2 linked regions of the Mytilus edulis genome follow. The protein of the gene in region 1 interacts with the protein of each later gene in a biochemical or structural test. Links are inferred from orthologs where the notes say so. Each region holds a gene or a part of one and is shown in the gene's direction. Other genes may lie near its edges.

Evidence for each region.
Region 2: the proteins of ski oncogene-like (region 1) and mothers against decapentaplegic homolog 4-like form a complex in vitro, tested with the Homo sapiens proteins (3 studies listed by BioGRID and IntAct, with this or other methods). The link is inferred for Mytilus edulis from reciprocal best matches to the Homo sapiens genes SKI and SMAD4.

The regions. Positions count from the first base shown.
Region 1 is NC_092356.1:29,700,959-29,709,837, forward strand, and holds the start of ski oncogene-like, read left to right. Parts: upstream 1-4,855; 5' UTR 4,856-5,400; coding exon 5,401-6,276; intron 6,277-8,879. UniProt on the Homo sapiens protein: May play a role in terminal differentiation of skeletal muscle cells but not in the determination of cells to the myogenic lineage. Functions as a repressor of TGF-beta signaling.
Region 2 is NC_092354.1:20,862,363-20,871,495, reverse strand, and holds the start of mothers against decapentaplegic homolog 4-like, read left to right. Parts: upstream 1-5,012; 5' UTR 5,013-5,124; intron 5,125-6,939; 5' UTR 6,940-6,971; coding exon 6,972-7,208; intron 7,209-9,133. UniProt on the Homo sapiens protein: In muscle physiology, plays a central role in the balance between atrophy and hypertrophy. When recruited by MSTN, promotes atrophy response via phosphorylated SMAD2/4.

The DNA.
Region 1 (8,879 bases):
GCACGTATTTTTAATAGGGTTTTATACACAAATGGTGTTATCGGGTGTATTCGCCGTTTTTCTCTCCTGAAAATCAATGTGTAACGCTGTAACATTGAGATTCAGGAAACGCTTACTCTGAATCAATGTTAAAATCAGCACACCCCGCTAAAATATAATTGTTAGTCGGGCTTAAGAGGGGACAAAGATCAGTGCGCCATAACCCAGTGGCGGATCCAGAACTTTTTGTAAGAGGGCGCTGACTGACCCAAAGAGGGGGGCGCTCCAGTTATGCTTCAGTGATTCCCTATATAATCAACCATTTTTTTTACAACGAAAGCACCCCCCTCTTGGATCCGCCTATGTTTGCCTGACGGCTCATTTTATGTAAAATACTGATAAAGGATATTTCCTTATGAAATCTGAAATCCTCTGTGAAGGTGTTAATAACTTTTACATTGTACTATCTCTTTTTCAAAAATTATCAAAATAAAACAAAAAAGTTCTGAAAATAGATTTTTATTTACAAATTAATAGTTATCAAAGGTACCAGGATTATAATTTAATACGCCAGACGTGCGTTAAAACCGAGGTTCTGATACAAAGCTTGGTTCCGAAATAAACCAATACTAACTGCAGCGAATCACTGGCATATGAAGACTGGATTTGACTAGTTGGTGATCATGCTATATGATAATTCGAATTTGCCATCGCCCCTGTGTCGTATGGTGTTAATTAAAAAACATTGAAAACTATCTACGAATTAGTAAAAGTTGAATTTCTGACGCAAAACACAGTTCTTAAATAAATCAGTATATTCCTGTGACGCACTATCATGCGAAGACTGGATTTGACCACTTGACCAGACCCTTCCAGGTGACAATTCGACTTGTTGTCTCAGCTGTGTCGTACGGTGTTAATTGATTAACATTGAAATACACAAATAAACGTTATAGTCTACAGGTGGTCCGATGACTAGAAAATCGTTCCATCTGGAAAAAAGTATGTTCCTGAAAATCTGAAATCAATCGTTTCCCAGAACTACGCTGAAACAAAAAAAATCTGAGAGACAACGTTTCTTGTTATTTTTTCGACAAAATTCATAAGAAATCTTCATGTCAATATACTGTCTTCAACATTAGATAGGGGTTTATATTACAAGAAGGAAAATAGCGCACAACGGACAATAGAGAAAACTTTTTTTTTTAAAAGCAGCCTAATCATCACTTTAAGGCCGAGAGAAAGTCGGTTTAACATGCAAATAATGTCCTTTTTGGAGAGAATAAAATCGGCGGATCTCTAGGCCTGGTACTCCAGCTTCCTCTGCCAACTAAAAACTGGCAGCCATGATAAAGACAAGAATGGTTAAGCTGATCTGAATCACTTTCAGTGGCGGATCCCAAAGTCATTCTTCAGGGATTCCCTATTAAATCAACCCCTAGATCCGCCTATGACCTTATAAACAATCTATCAACCAAGCATGTTTTCGATACCTTCACAAAACTAATTTGGTATATAAATCCGAATCATTTTTTCCAAAACCTTACTATTTACCATCAATGAAAGAATTTTGAAAAAAAAATAATAATCTAATTCAAATCTTAGTAGGACGTGGGTTTTCGAAGCTATTTCTCAGTAATTTTTTTCCCAGCTAAGCATTATTAGTTTTTCATAGGTTCGTATGCACCACTATTCCTCACAACCTGGTCAAAAATAATATTGGTAAACTAATTGGAGGAAGGAAGCAGGTCTTGAATACATCCGTTGTTATAATTTCTTTAGACATAAAAGAAATAAAATGCATTGTTCTTGGAAATCCGCAGACATGATCAAGGCTTAAAATGTATTGCTTGACAGTATGTTTGTTAGTTATGGGAATAATATATGTCATCAAAATATCCGAATTCCTATGGGTACTAACTGCGCAGTACAAATCTATTTGACGATCTGTTTTTATATTTCCGTCGATCTTCTTCCTTATATACCAGAAGAACTTAAAATTATAGTTTTTACATTTTTTTTTTTAAACTAATGAAAAAAAACGTCGTGATAAACTAAATAATACAGTTAAAATGATGGGTAGCTTTTTCATTAGATGTGGGTCTGAATGGGGTCCTTCATATCTATATTCTTTAATTTTTGATACCATTTATTTCTATATGCTTTATTTTTTTTTAGAGCATTTTTTCTATATTCTTTAATTTTTTAGACCAATTTTTCTCTACTTTCTTTAATTAGATTGTCCATTATTCTCGATATTCTTAATATTTTAGCACACCATTATTCCCTAATCTTTTTAATTTTACATTTCTTAATTTCTCTTGTCTTTTATTTTACACTGTTTGTCAAATATTTGGTTAACACTGTTCAGATCTTCTTCAATAGATGGGCTGACGATTTTAAACACTTAAAGCCTCTCATAAATACTGCCGATTTACTTCAATTGTAGATGATGATGATGATAGATGGATAGTTAATGTCCAGTGGCAAATTAAATGCAAATTGAGGACAGGAACATGCATGTTAATGCGATGATTTGAATACAAATATTAAAATATGAAACTGTGGTATGATCGTCAATGAGAAAAGTCTCAACAAGAGACCAAATTACATACAGTTTCACAACTATAGGTCATCGTTCGGCCTTCAACAATGAACAAAACATTGTCAGCGATAAAAGGTCCCAAAATAACAATAGTAAAACAATTCAAACGAGAAAACTAACGGCCTGATTTGTGAACAAAATAATGCATGAAAGACCAATGCGATATAAACTCAACTTTTAACAAGAATAATAAAATGAGTTGGATTGTTAATGTGCTCGTTCACATTAGACAAATTAATCCACCTGGACATTTTTTCAACAGCTTTTTGGCAAGAATCTTGCTCTTAAATGACACATGCTTAGTGGATGAGCAGAATATAACAATTCTTAAGTTTATGGTTGACCGAATCAATGTACCTAAAGGCGAACTTGCTAGGTACAAGGAGACCACCGAGCCGGTGCTTTCAGTTAATTGTATGATGATAATTCATCAAACCTGTTAGGAGTGTGTCTTCCTCGTACGAGTATTCAACAAACACAGTGAAGGGGTGCTATTTCCCAAGTGTCCCTTTTTTCATACAACATTTCTAAACGCTACACAAAAAGTTAAAATTAATAAAAAAAAATAAAAATGACAATGGTTATAGGAGCAGCATTTAATAACTTGAGTACCCAAGTCAATTATATTGTCTTTTCATATACCCATATAATATGATCAATGTGACATGTAAAGCAAATCAAGATTCTAGAAGCACAACATTAAAGCATCTTAAAGCTCCTCTTTTTTCTTTTAATTATGGGCATACGTCTTATGACATGCGCGGATCGTGACATTTTGAAAAATAAACAGGTTTTAAACACCATAAAATATCACGTTATTAAAAAAAAAATATGAAAAAGGACCCCTTCCCCTCCTTCTTTCTGGATCCACCAATCAATAATATCTATCCAGATAAATGTTCTTCATTCAAAATTAAGCCATGAAGTCGAAATCTTATATTCGTAATCGACGGTTTGAAGCATGATTATGTTTTTTACCCCCCAAAAAAACCCTAATATATGCCATAACGTGTCAAAATTATATTCAACGGTGACGTCAGTACAAACTAGCTTGCTTATTAATATACCGTACTTTAGAGGCATATTAAAAACACGTCTCCTCGTGTCTATAACGGATAGAACCTCGAGAGGAACAAAAAACATCTGTTTCGACGGTATTTCAATTCAGAAATTCAAAATGAGATAGTTTTTACACATGTTACAAAATTACCGCATCTTTAGAAAGGGACATAACCTCTCACATCTGCTGTAGAAACACGACCAGGCAACAAAATGTATACACACATGCAGTGTTTAAAAACATGTCAATATTATTAAAATGATCCGTAAAATACATGATATCTCTAATAAATATACGAATAAAAAGACTATATGCTGGTTATACGAGACAGCAACCCAAAAACAAAGAATAACAAAATACATAAGATAGAAAACACAAGTATATGGTCCTCAACGGCACAAGCGGCAGTGGGAATGTCCTCGTTTTTTTAAACTGTTTTAAAACATAAATTCAAGTAAACGTTTTTAAATTTCTATATGATTTTCACAGATCCAATGTGTTCATTCTCTTATCCATACCATATTCCAATAAGAGCAATAAAAGTAGTTTATTTATTTAACGTCACTCTAGGACAAAAAAATATATAAAAAAGGGGGATCGATCCCAAACGCCTGTACATTTTTTTTATACGGGGGGAAAAGGGGGGGGGGGGGGGGGAGTTGGATGTAAGATGATTTTATTCCGTGTTATTTAATAAAGAAAAAAATTGAAGGAAAAAATATAAACAGAATGGCTGTGAAAAAAATAGCACTTTTGATGGCATTGTATATTTCGAAAAAAAAAAAAGAAAAAAAAATGTTCAACATTGATTTTCAATCTTGGTTTTTGTATGTTATCAAAAAGCTAAAAGAAAAAAATTGTCTTATTAAAAAAAAATTAGAAAATGTTATCCCATTTGTCAGTATAATGTTGTGTTAATTTTAATCATATTGATACTTAATTTCAATTTCTAAAAAAATCATATTGATACTTAAGTTCAATTCTAAAAACAAACAATTTTAGTTCAAACTTGTTGAAAAAATCCCATAAACTTTTCTGTTGGTGAAAACTTAATAAAGTAAACCATTAAAACTATAGAAGTAATCAGTAGCATTGATTATTCAACAGTCGCGGAATTTCCAATATCTCTATTTTGAAACAGACTATAGTTGATTCTGCAGACGTATGACGTCAGCGCGGACATATAGTCGAGACGACTTTAATGTCAATTTACCAAAGCGCCAGACGGTCGAACGATCAATGACCATTTTAATACACCTTTATTTCATCTTGAGATGATTCATAATTAACATTCATATAATCCGTTATATATCAATAAATTGAAAACTAAACTGTATTCTAATTATCTGGTTGCAAAACAAGTTTTAAGCGCAAGATATGCATATAAATATGCATACAAGTCATTGAAGTGGGAAGTCAACGGATCGGCAGACCGTGTTATGTATAATCAACAATGTCTATTGTTTTTGTATATTAAAAAGCTTCGACTATCCTTAAAATATTGACAGATGTTAAACATCATAAAATAAAGAAATTATTCTCTACAGTTGTTCCTTATAATATCGACCTTTATTGAACTTTATAACTACTATCGCGTAATCGTAGTAGTAGGACTGATTAACGGAACAGCCAAGTATTTCAGTTTGTTATCAACTGCCGACAGTGGGGAGACGTTAGACGTATGTGTGTATTGCTTGAACTAAGTAACGGAGAGGAACGTTAAACGGAATTTTATTTCGAATGTGACAATTATTTAATGGAACATCTTAGATCACAAGTTGTTAACCCTCATGTAGAGAGGGTTATCAAAAACTTTCAAACATCAGCCATGCGGAGTTTACAAGGCCCTGGTCCCGCTGGATTTCTTTCACCAAGTGACATTGAGGAATACCGTAAAGCACTTAAAAAACTTCCGGAAAAGGGTTTGGAGTACGACCCTCTAAGAGGACCTCCGCCCTTCCCAGTGCAACAATTTCCAGTATTTGCACCCGTGGATGCTACTAAAAGTGAAAAAACGGATACATTGTTAGAAACCGAAACCATTGCTTGTTTTGAAGTTGGAGGTGAAAAAAGGTTGTGTTTACCACAGATTCTAAATACGGTTCTGAGGGATTTTAGTTTACAGCAAATAAATGCTGTGTGTGACGAACTTCATATTTTTTGTTCACGGTGTAATCCTGAACAGCTTCATACATTAAAAATGACAGGGATTCTTCCATTAGGGGCACCGAGTTGTGGACTTCTTACAAAAACTGACGCTGAAAGATTGTGCAATGCACTACTTCATAGGGCACCTGCTAAATGTTCTGAGCCCCCTACACGGGACAGCTTTAAAGTTTATCATGAATGTTTCGGGAAATGTAAAGGGATCTTTAGTCCTGAGATGTATGTGGAACCCATTGCCAAATGTATTCAGTGTGTTGACTGTATGGGCTCATTTTCACCAAGTGAATTTGTTCGTCATTCTCATAAAGCGCTGGAAAACAGAACTTGTCATTGGGGATTTGATTCATCACATTGGAGATCTTATTTATTGTTGGCTAAAGATCAAGAAAACCGTGATCGAGTGAAAGAAGTATTGCAGTACATGAAGTCAAGATTCGATACTTCAAAGAAATATAAACGAAAGCAGGTTAGTTATTTGAATTTTAAGATACTGATCAATCTAGTCTTTACGCTTAACCACAAGTCCTACGTAAAATGTAAAATGTAAAATTCTTCTCTTCAAGCCAACATAATCCAACTTAAATTCTCAAAAAATTGTGCTTCAGGTGTGTGGACTCAAAACTTTCAAAGGTTTATCATGAATGCTGTCAATCGTTATTTATGAAACGGGGAATCCAAATCTGACAGTAGTTTTGTCAAATCTGTTTAAATTTCACTAAACGTCGTAAACATTGATTTCTTAAAACTACATGTACATTATTTATAACTACTACTACTGTAGTAACATACTGTTTGTTTAGTAGTTTTAAACCATCTGTCTCAGCTGTTGCAGATTTTTTGATTTAATTACATGTAATATTTTCTTTGGATCCCGGATATATTTTTTAGTTAAACTTGTGTTTTTCAAAAAGAACAATTGAAAAGCACTTACAATGTACATATACATCTATTCTAAAGAATTCCCAATACACCAAGTCAGTCTTCTCAAAAATCCTTAAAATCATCTTTGAGTTGATATAGCTTATGGTTTTCCTGGTATCTTTTTAGCGAAAATTTTAATGGTGGGATATGTACATGTAGGCTTGTTAATAAAAAAGACTGTGGTCCCATGTTTTACAAACTCTACTCTCAAAAAGTCTCATATTTATCACAATTATTCAAAAATCAATGTTGAAAAGAAAACTTAAAATAAAATTTAAATACATGTGAATTTATTTGAAGATTGATAAATTTTAAATTTAAAGATAATATGTATGTTTGATAGTAAGCTACATGTACATGGTATCAGGTCCGTTCGCGCCCAATACACTTTCGCATCCTACATGTTCGCACCTCGCACGTTCGCACCCAAGGTCCGTTCGCACCCAATTTAAAATCAAGTTCCAGTTGAATAATTAGAAAATCATGATTGTTGTTTTAAATTGCCTTGGTGTAAATAATGCAATTATTTAGCTTCGTATGAGTAAAACATTGAAAATTTTAAATGAAAAACACAAAAGATAATTTTTTTTAACAGATTGGTCCCTTTGATCTGAAACAATTAAATAAAAAATTATAGCAATACACTAACCAAAATTGATTAATATTTAAGATTTATTCCACCCGAAAATCCCGGTCGTCAGAATCTCACTTTATTTAAATGATTAAAAATATTTTAACAATACACTATCCGGCAAAACAAGATTAAGATTTATTCAACACAAAAAACACGTTGTCTCACTTTATTTTGAGACAATGACAACAAATATACTAATATGAATACACTTGCCAAAACTTGGTTATAAAGTTATCAAACACAATACCAATAAAACTTGGGCGCGAACGTGTTGGGTGCGAAAGTGAAAGGGCGCGAACGTGATCGGGTGCGAACGTGAATGGGCGCGAACGGACCCAGATTCCATGTACATGTAGGTGTATGGCATTGATTTACGATATGATTGAATATATTTACATGTTTTGACACTTTTTAATTTTTTTTTAAACAAATTATATGTAGACCAACACTAAAAAATATTTGTGGTTTGAATGTGTTTCCTTATTGAAGCATTATTTTTATGCCTCAAAATGTCTACCCTTGGCCTTAAATCATAATTGCCACTTTAATTTTTTTTAAACAAATTACATGTAGACCAACAGTAAAAAATATTTGTGGTTTGAATGTGTTTCCTTGTTGAAGCATTATTTTTATGCCTCAAAATGTCTACCCTTGGCCTTAAATTATAATTGCCACTTTAATACATGTATGGTAGATCAGTCACTACAAAATTACAGGTATCAGAATGATACTTAAATTTTGTAAAGTACAAATGTAAAAATAAAAAAGAATTTGTACCTATATACCCTATATATAGTGACAGTGTCAGTGTACAAGGTTATCTCAAGGATGAAACACACATACTTTTTTTTGTACTATATATAAGTATAATGACTTATGTATTATGTAACTTTTCTATGATGATATACAGCAAACATTGTAATGAACTGTGTACTTTGGTAATGCTCATGTTGCACATACATGACATAATCATAGATTAGGACTATGTATATATTTAATACACAATGTATTCAAGGTTCTATTAATTAAAAGATTGTGAATCTGTGATAAATTGATTTATTTATTTTTGAATACACACGAAAGTTATTTTTTCCACCTGTGGATTGCCTAATAAACAAAACTGTGACTTACAAATCTACATGTATGAAATTTATGTCTTTCATTAAAAATTGAATACACGATCCATGAACTATAGGTCTGAAATTCTTCATCTTTCAAAGTAATGTACAAAATGTACTTCTCTTTACATATATATATATTATATACCTCGGATCGATCATACACCTTTTTCATGATAACAAATATAGCAAATGTTGCCTTGAGAAATATGTACATGTAAATGTATAAAGTACATGTTCATGTATAAAAGATATATTCAGCATATGTTTGCTGTGTACAATAACATGTTGTGTTAGGCAAAACCAATCCATAATTTAAAAAATTTAGGGTTAACCGTTTTACAGAAATTTGACCTAATGTAAAATGTAAATGAAACACATGATACAATGTAAATG
Region 2 (9,133 bases), on another chromosome or scaffold:
GGCAAAAAATGAAGATTAGAGAAATGCGTGGACTAATTTTTTTAAAATTAGAGAAAAAGGGGTTAATTTTTTGAAGATAAGAGAAAAAAGGGGTGAAAATTAAATGTTTACAGAATAACAGACCCCCCCCCCCCCCCATCCAGACAATCGGATATGGTAATCTAAAGGTGTTGTACGAAGTTGAAGTGCATGTTTCTGGCTGTCATCTTTATATAATGTCCCACAAAGGCAAGAATAACAAATAGAAACTAGAATTGCCATTGCAATAGAGGCCGGATGTCACCCTGGTCTGCAAATTGACACTTAACAGCAGCCATTTCGAAATTGTCCATCAGTGAATGCAGATTTTTGCATGACAACAGATATTTCTGTTTTAAATTCCAATGAATTTGGAGCATTTTGATATTTTTTGTGTTTTTGCTGTTTCCATGGTAACGGCCGCCATTTTAAAAATTCCAAAGTCAAACTACTGCTGCATATTGTTCTCTCTGCACGTCGTGTAGCTGGAATATATATACACACATGTACATAAAATGAGAGACAAAGGATACCAAAGGGACATGCATTCATTCCACATTGCTAAAAAGAAAGAAAAACATACAATACACAAAACACAACATATTAAACTAACTGAGACTGAGTAACAGGAACCACATCAAAAACTGTCTTGTTGCTCATGTTAGTACAAAACCGCTAATTATTAAGTCTGCATCGGTAGATCACATAGAACACTGATATAGCAGTCTCAGGGTGCACAAACTGATATTTGAAGCAACGATCATCAAAGTCCCAATGCAAGTATTGCTAAGCGCTGTCATACCTTCATGACATGTGGTATTTTCCTCACAAATAAGCCTGACATGAATTGCTTGGTTTGAATTCCTGATAACATAACTTGTGGATAAGTGTACTGATTTTATGACATCGTACCACAATTAAGGTTCCATACCACAAAAGGAAGATCGGCATTGATGATTTTCTTGACTGTTTAGGGATTAAGGTCCAAAGCGGGTCCACAAAAAAATTAAAACAAACATAACTCTTGTTTAAGGACAATAACTTGTGTAATGAAAGCAAATAAGAAACCCGTCGGCCCGATTTATAATACGTCGATATATATATATGGCATGCAGAAATCAAACGCAAACAGTGAATTACTGCCCCTGACTTTAGAGAGGCAAAAATAGAATGCAGCTGGATACAACAAAATTCGTTTTGTGTTCATGGTTGTGTTTCGTGATTTATGATCTCTACCGTGTCAAAACCTATGCAACTGTTTTGTTTTTACAGTTTACTCTGATGTTGTGTTTCCACACAATTGTTAACTGTCCAAGGATAAGGACCGGGTGCCAGGGTCCTCCACCATATTACGTACATGAGGGTACATATGTTTACCTCCCCATGCCCGCTACAGTTATATCTGCTTAGAGCAATAAAAACACATATATTGCCATGGCACGTTTACTTCAAAGAGACAGATTACATCACATGATAAATATGCATCATTATACAAAGGTACACAACTCTCACGTTTAAACTACAAAACACATACGACCATACATATACTTGATAACAAGGGTTAGTATAAGCTTAATGAACATGCAGTATGGGGTTTGTTCATCGTTTCAGGCGGTAGTAGTGTGACCTATAGCTATTGTTGCGTAGATCAACGTCAAGTTTGATTCTGGTGTTGTTGTTTTTTTAATTTGGAAAAATCCTGATTATTTGAACACGTGCAATCGGATATATAGTTATCAAAGGTACCAGGATTATAATTTAGTACGCCAGACGCGCGTTTCGTCTACATAAGACTCATCAGTGACGATCATATCAAAATATTTAAAAAGCCAAACAAGTACAAAGTTGAAGAGCATTGAAGATCCAAAATTCCAAAAAGTTGTGCCAAATACGGTTAAGGTAATTTATGCCTGGGATGAGAAAATCCTTAGTTTTTCGAAAAATTCAAAGATTTGTAATCAGGAAAAACACTCTTATCTTCATTTCTTTAGTCTTGTAATTTTTATGTAATTTTTCTATATTCTAATACACATTGACCATTTTTCTCTACTCTTTATATTATTACACTTTTTTCATTTCTTTATTTTTTGGCCCCTTTTTTCTCTTTTCCTAATATCTTGGTCCATGATTTTTTTCTGTAGATTTTGCCAGCCATTATCCGCTATCCTGTTAACCCATGTAGACTTTCATATATTTTCAACGTTTTTTTTTTTAACGAGATTTATTTTGTCACGTGCAAAGATTCATGGGATTAATCGGATGTGTGATAAAAAATCTGCTAAATGTGCGAAAATATCATTTATTCAGATATCAGTACTTCCCTATCAATTTTTAAACTATTGCTCTTGAAGAGGAACAATGAGATTGGATTTGAATTTTACATTCTTGTACTGAGTAATTGAATGGCTGCGGTAACAGACTGGCTTTAATTTGGTAAGGCTTTATTAAAAATATACATTATACATTGTAGTATAATATAGATATGTCTATGTACTCGTACGTCATGAAAGGTCATGTATACCAAAGTAGGGCTTGATCAAATGAATTTGCGACACTTTGGAACATTATATAAACCATATATATCATGTATATAGCCTTAATGAAGACTTTTTGAAAGTATTTATATTATATATACTTGCGGATGCATATCCTGGACTCAGAAAATAGTGTGTGTGTGGGGGGGGGGGGAGGGGGTCGTAAAGCAGGCAATTTTAGAAGAAGGACATGTAAATATGTAAATGGCCTATGCATTAACCTCATATGTAGCCGGCTCCATAAGTAGTGGGCTACATTATCACATCCCATACAGAGACGGATTTAGGGGGAGGGCAGGGGAACCCCCCTTTTTTGAGAAAATGTTTGGTTGCTTATATAGGGAATCACTGAAGCGTGACTGGAGCGGCCCCCCCTCTTAGGCAGTCAGTGGGCCCCCACTTATAAATATTTCTGGATCCGCCACTGCCCTTAATCCGCTTGAAAATTATATTATACGAGTTTCTTATACAGTTTGTTCCTAATTTTGTCATTTTTTTTTAATTTAAGGGAGACGGATTTTTTCTTGTTTTCGAATGCCACTGCCCAGTATCTCTATTTTGTATAATTATATTTCGTGCAGTTTATGAAAAATAAAATATTGTTTAAACTAAATCCGCTTATAATTTACTAAAAACGACTAGCAAGAATAAATAGTACCTCCTTTTCAACCATGGTCGATGGTGGTTATGATTTGCCTTCACATCCCACCTTACTATTTTTTCCGTTAATATATCAATTAACGGGCGGCGGACTCTGAATATATGATAGTTCATACTATCGTTACTACAATCCCGTACCCTTTTCAAGAAGGTCACCCTCCGTATTAATTCTTACTGTGTTTGTATTAACATGAGCAACACGACGGCTGCCACATGTGGAATAGGATCTGCTAAATTACCCTTCCGGAGAAGCTGAGATCACCTAAGTTTTGGTTGGGTTCGTGTTGCTAGATGCGTTATAGTTCTCTATGTTGTGTTTTGTTTTCTATTGTTTGTCTTCTGTTCTCTTTGTCGAGCCTTCGACAACTGTCGAAAAAGCGAAACATGAAGCGAACCTACATTCCGTCGTCGGCGTTGTCGTCGTCGAGTCACATATTCACGGTGTGCATGGTTAGCGGTTTTTGAAATTTTAATAACTTTCTTAAACTATCCTGGATTTCTACCGAACTTGTGGATAGACTTTGTTAATATTCATAACACAGTATCCAAAAGTAAATTCTGTAAAAAAAATCATCCTATTTTGAATTCCGTATTTTACTTATAGATAGACTTAGTTTTTCTGCCAGGAAACATTACATTCACTCTGTGGTTAATGTTTTTAAAATTTTAATACTTTCTTAAACTATCCTGGATTTGTACCAAACTTGAACAGAAACTTGTTTATGATCAAATGCTAGTATCTAGAAGGAAATTTGGTTAAAATTTTGTTCTTGTTAAAAATGTTTTTCCATACTTTACTTAAAAATGGACTTAGTTTTTCTTCCATTTTACATTACATAGTCTGCAGTTAAAGTTTTAAAAACATTTATTAGATTCACAAACTATATATATATAGATTTCCTTGATTTTTACCAAACTTGAACAGAACTCTTACAATTAAAAGATAGACTAAAATATCTAGAGGAAAACAGTTTTTCGAATTTTTTGTTGAACTTGCGACTACCAGCAAAAGTAGGCGAGACACTGGGTTCGACGGAACCCTTAAAAATTAGAAAATTAGTTAAGGGTTAAATTGAAGTTCCTATTAATACAACGATTCAATAAGGTCGAATTATCGAGTTATACTTGCAAGTGAATCAGTCAATATTTCTTTAGTGATTGAACAAAACTGAAAAAAAATCACATATTTTAGTGTTAATTGTTTTTTTTAATACTATCATCGTATATATCATGTATCTTATTATTTTGCCAATTTGAACCATACTGGTAGAAGCGAAATATTATTTCACTATTTAACTTTCATTAGTGATTGAACAAAACTGAAAAAAATCACATATTTTAGTGTTAATTGTTTTTTTTAATACTATCATCGTATATATCATGTATATATCGTAGCAAGTGCATGCTCCTTTAAGATCCTTTAACTGTTTAATGTCAGTTTGGTATATTTTATGACTTTATTCTTTATACTTTTGCTTTTAATATTGCAATGCTATTTTTGTATTGTGTATGATAAATGACTTTAAAAATATTTGTACATGTTTAACTTTTGGTTTGAACCATTGGAGGAATTGATTATAAATATAAAAAAAATAATGGCCCCCTTTCTCTCTGCAATGTGCCCCTTCGAATAAACAATTTAAAACGGAAGTAAACTTAACGACATCAGCGAATATTTGTAAATGGTTTGGTTTGAATAATTCGAGGAAGCGATTAAAAATATACGATGAAAATGATGCCCCCCATTTCCCCTGCAAGGTGCCCCTTCAAATAACAACAAATTAAAACGGAAGTAAACTTAACGACATCAGCGCAGGCGTATTAGTTTATTTTGATTTTACTCGCGCCATGAAAAAATAAATAAATTAAGCATGAATTAAAAATGATGACTTAACAATTGATCGTTGCTCGGGTAAGTAATCAATAATAACCTGATGTTAATGAGGAGATAATTTCCACACCTGAAGTTTCATTGATTAAGTAAAATGGAGCCGGCAAATGGCCTCCAGAAGCTGGCACCAGTCTGTCTGGCTATGACATAGTATGCTGGGAGTGGGGACATGATTAACATACGAGGCCATATTTTTTTTTATTTTTTAATTTTTGTATTAAGTCTGCTGTTCTTTGTTCTTACTTGTTCAGGTGTAAACAAAGCATGCACATGGCATAGATTTGATGCATAGTTTATTTGGAAATTATTATCTGCTTGTTGATTATTCTGAAAGTATAAATAAAGAATTGTATAAAAAAATAAATTAATTAAAATAAATATTGATGGATTCAAAGGAATAAAAATTTATTAAAAAAATATTTGAGGAACAAGTGGTAATTGAAAAGAAATATGAATTATCAAAAATAAACAAACATGTTTTAAACTTTTAAAAGTTTTATTGTTATTTAATTATATGTCTGTATTTTTCTGTTACATGTAAAACCAATTGATAAGACAGTAACCCTTTACAGTCATGATACTTAGTACCATCTTGTAGGACCGAGTGCGGAAGAAATCTTTTTACCCAAGAACGATACCAGACTTCATTGCCCTACCTCATACTGCCACCAATGCAGGTAGTCTTGAATGCTTCAAGACTTCCCTACATAAGATGAACTAGAACAAATCCAAGATGTTTTTAAATTCACTGTATATATGATGTACATGTATCATGTGTATAGCAAAAATTCAAATCAACTAATACTTATTTCTTGTCTAAATTTTAAATGTGCATCCAAAAGTGGCAAAATAATTAACTTATTGATGGTAGCAGCGTATTTGTAGAAGTAGTGGACAACTTTTAAATGCATGAGATTTCTGACATGCTTCTGCTATCCCAGTGTTATGGACCAATAACTCTAGAGGTCCTTTCTATATTTTATCGTTGGCTTCAATCTACATGTATAATACACCTTAAATATTGCTCAGGTTATGAAATTAGCAGCAATGGCCCCTAAAATTTGGTTTGGGCTACTCAAATTTCGGCTTTTCTTATATATGACTATCTATGTTGGCTACAACATTTAAGCTGTGGACTATCATTGCCAAAGTCTTTAAGTTTTAACCCTGTAATGCTACATGTATTTGTCCACCAATACCAAACATCACAAAAGTTCCATAAAAATTTTGACATCACAATTATACCTGTAGGTGACCATAGTGACCATACTGCTTTCAACACTAGGTAAACCCATACCATATTCTATCATGAAAGCCCTGAAATGACAACTGTAAAACAATTCAAATAAGAAAACTAACAGCCTGATTTATATACACAAAATAATGAACGAAAAACAATAAAAAAACAAATGTGATATTTGTGAGGCATAAATTTAAAACAAATGACAGCTTCTGATTTTCTTTTATAACTTTCAGACTAAGGAACATCGATAAACCCCATGGGGTCCTAGGCTCCAACATCAGCTGATGCCTGTTTTAGTATTGTTCACAGCCGAATGTGCCATACATGAATAGAGCTTATGTTTGTCCCTTTGAATAATAAATATACTGCCTCTTGGTAAAGCTTTTTCATTTATTATTTATAATAATTCTCTTAAAATCAGAGCCAGTGTACTGTTATCTTGCTAAGAAATCAGTTGAAAAAAATATTTGCCTTTCTTTGGTACAAAAATGTTCCTACATTGTACCCTATTTTTTTTCAGCATTAAATTCATGCCTAAAAATCATGTAGAGTTAGAAAAATTACCAAATCTAACTTTCTTTTATAACTTTCAGACTAAGGAACATAGTTAAACCCCATTACCACCATGGGGTCCCAGGCTCCAACATCAGCCGATGCCTGTTTAAGTATTGTTCACAGCCTAATGTGCCATAGGCAAGGAGGAGAGAGTGAAAGCTTTGCCAAACGGGCCATTGAAAGCTTGGTGAAAAAACTGAAAGAGAAAAGGGATGAATTGGACAGTTTGATCACAGCTATTACAACCAATGGTGCACATCCTTCTAAATGTGTGACAATCCAGCGGACATTAGATGGGAGACTTCAGGTATAAAATTTGTAAACATACATTTGTACATATACATGTACATGAAAAAGGTTATTTATGTATTATTGTCATTTTGTTTATTTTCTTTAGTTACATCTTCTGACATCAGACTTGAACTTCTCTTGAACTGAATTTTAATGTGTGTATTTTTATGTGTTTACTTTTCTGCATTGGCTAGAGGTATAAGGGGAGGGTTAAGATCTCATAAACATGTTTAACCCCACCACATTTTTGCGCCTGTCCCAAGTCAGGAGCCTCTGGCCTTTGTTAGTCTTGTATTATTTTTATGCAGTTAAGCTGCATTATGCGAGCACCCTAGATTTGTGTTCTACCCAATAAATGCTGAAATACTTGCCATTGTCATTATCTAGCTTGCTACTAGTACTATGTTATATATAACTAATTGAACACTTTTTTAATACTTTTTATTCTGGATTACAAAAAATATGACTAGAAAAACCTTAAATGATCGTCGATTTATCTAAAAGTTTTGAAGTTACACATAGGAAGTAGTGCTTATCAAGAATCCTTGTGTAGTTCATTATGACTTGTGCTTTTGGCCAGATGTCAAAGAACAATTGTATGAAATATTTAATCGCCGAAAATATCTTAAGACAAGCAGTTTAGATTTCCCAAATGGCAAAAGTCGTAGGAATATTGTTTGTCATCAATACGTCAGTAGTCTATTATATAATAAGTTCAACTGTTCGTGCTGTTTGCGGCAATTTCAAATTAGAAAAAGAAATTTTCGTATCTTTTTAATTTGGAGGCAGGTGTGCAAATTAGCGGTGGTCCGAGGTCCGCGACCTTCCACTTTTGCAAGCGGAATTTCGACTAGGATAGTTAGTTTCTAGGTACGCCCGACGTAGTCGCCTTCCACTTGAAAGAAAATAAGAATTAACTTTGCAAACCTTTTCACCATGTTCACCAGTCTCCAATTGAACGAGCTAAAAACTTATTTTTGTCATTATTCATAACAGCGATGTTCATTTTGTTCAACCGCTAGATTTATACAGAAAATCGCCGACAAATATTGTATAAATTCGAGTAAAATCGTATCTGATTGACGAAAACAACATTGTAAACACATAACAATGGCGGCCGTGAAGACAAAATTTTACAATATCGGATCCGATTCCGGAAGTGGATAAGGGTAATTCCGGGTTTGGCGATCAATTACAAAATAAATCCAAACAGGTGAAAAAATACATCTATGCATGGTAAATGAATATAAACACTTGAATTGTAAATCAAAAGATATATGTAAAAGAAAGAAAAAGCACCTGGGAATAGTATATCTAAGAATATACATGTTCATGTTCACAGTCTAAATCAGTCATAAATGATGATAATGCATGTGAGATGCTTTTTTAAAAAGTGTAAACATATTACTGCAATTTCGAAGGATTATTTTTTTCCCTCAATTTTGAAGGGTCAATTAAAGTAGCTGAAAGTTTCTTTCTTTATTTTCACAAATAATGCAACTATATTATATATACCTGAATGTAAGTAAATCATAAGATATATAGGTGGCATCCTTTGGGCCACTCTACCCCTTCCTGTTTAATAACTTGGAAACGGTCGAGCTCCCCACCCCTAAACCATATGAGGAACAGATCCAGGATTTTAGGTTAGGAGGGGCGCAAACATAAATTTTCTCCGAGCAGAGTGAGGCTAAAAAATTTGAGGTAAAATTATCGGAAAATTCTTTATTAAGCTGAGAACAACCCATGCTTTGCAAATTTAAGGGCGGTGCACGTCCGCCCCCCTCTGACTGAATCCGCCCCTGCATATATTCAAGTAAAGGACAATATAATAAATAAAATGAAATATAGGGGGAGTCCCTGGAGTTACCCACCCCCCTCCTGTTTGAGAACTTGGAAACGGTCGAGATCCACACCCCTTAACCATATATATTCATGTTT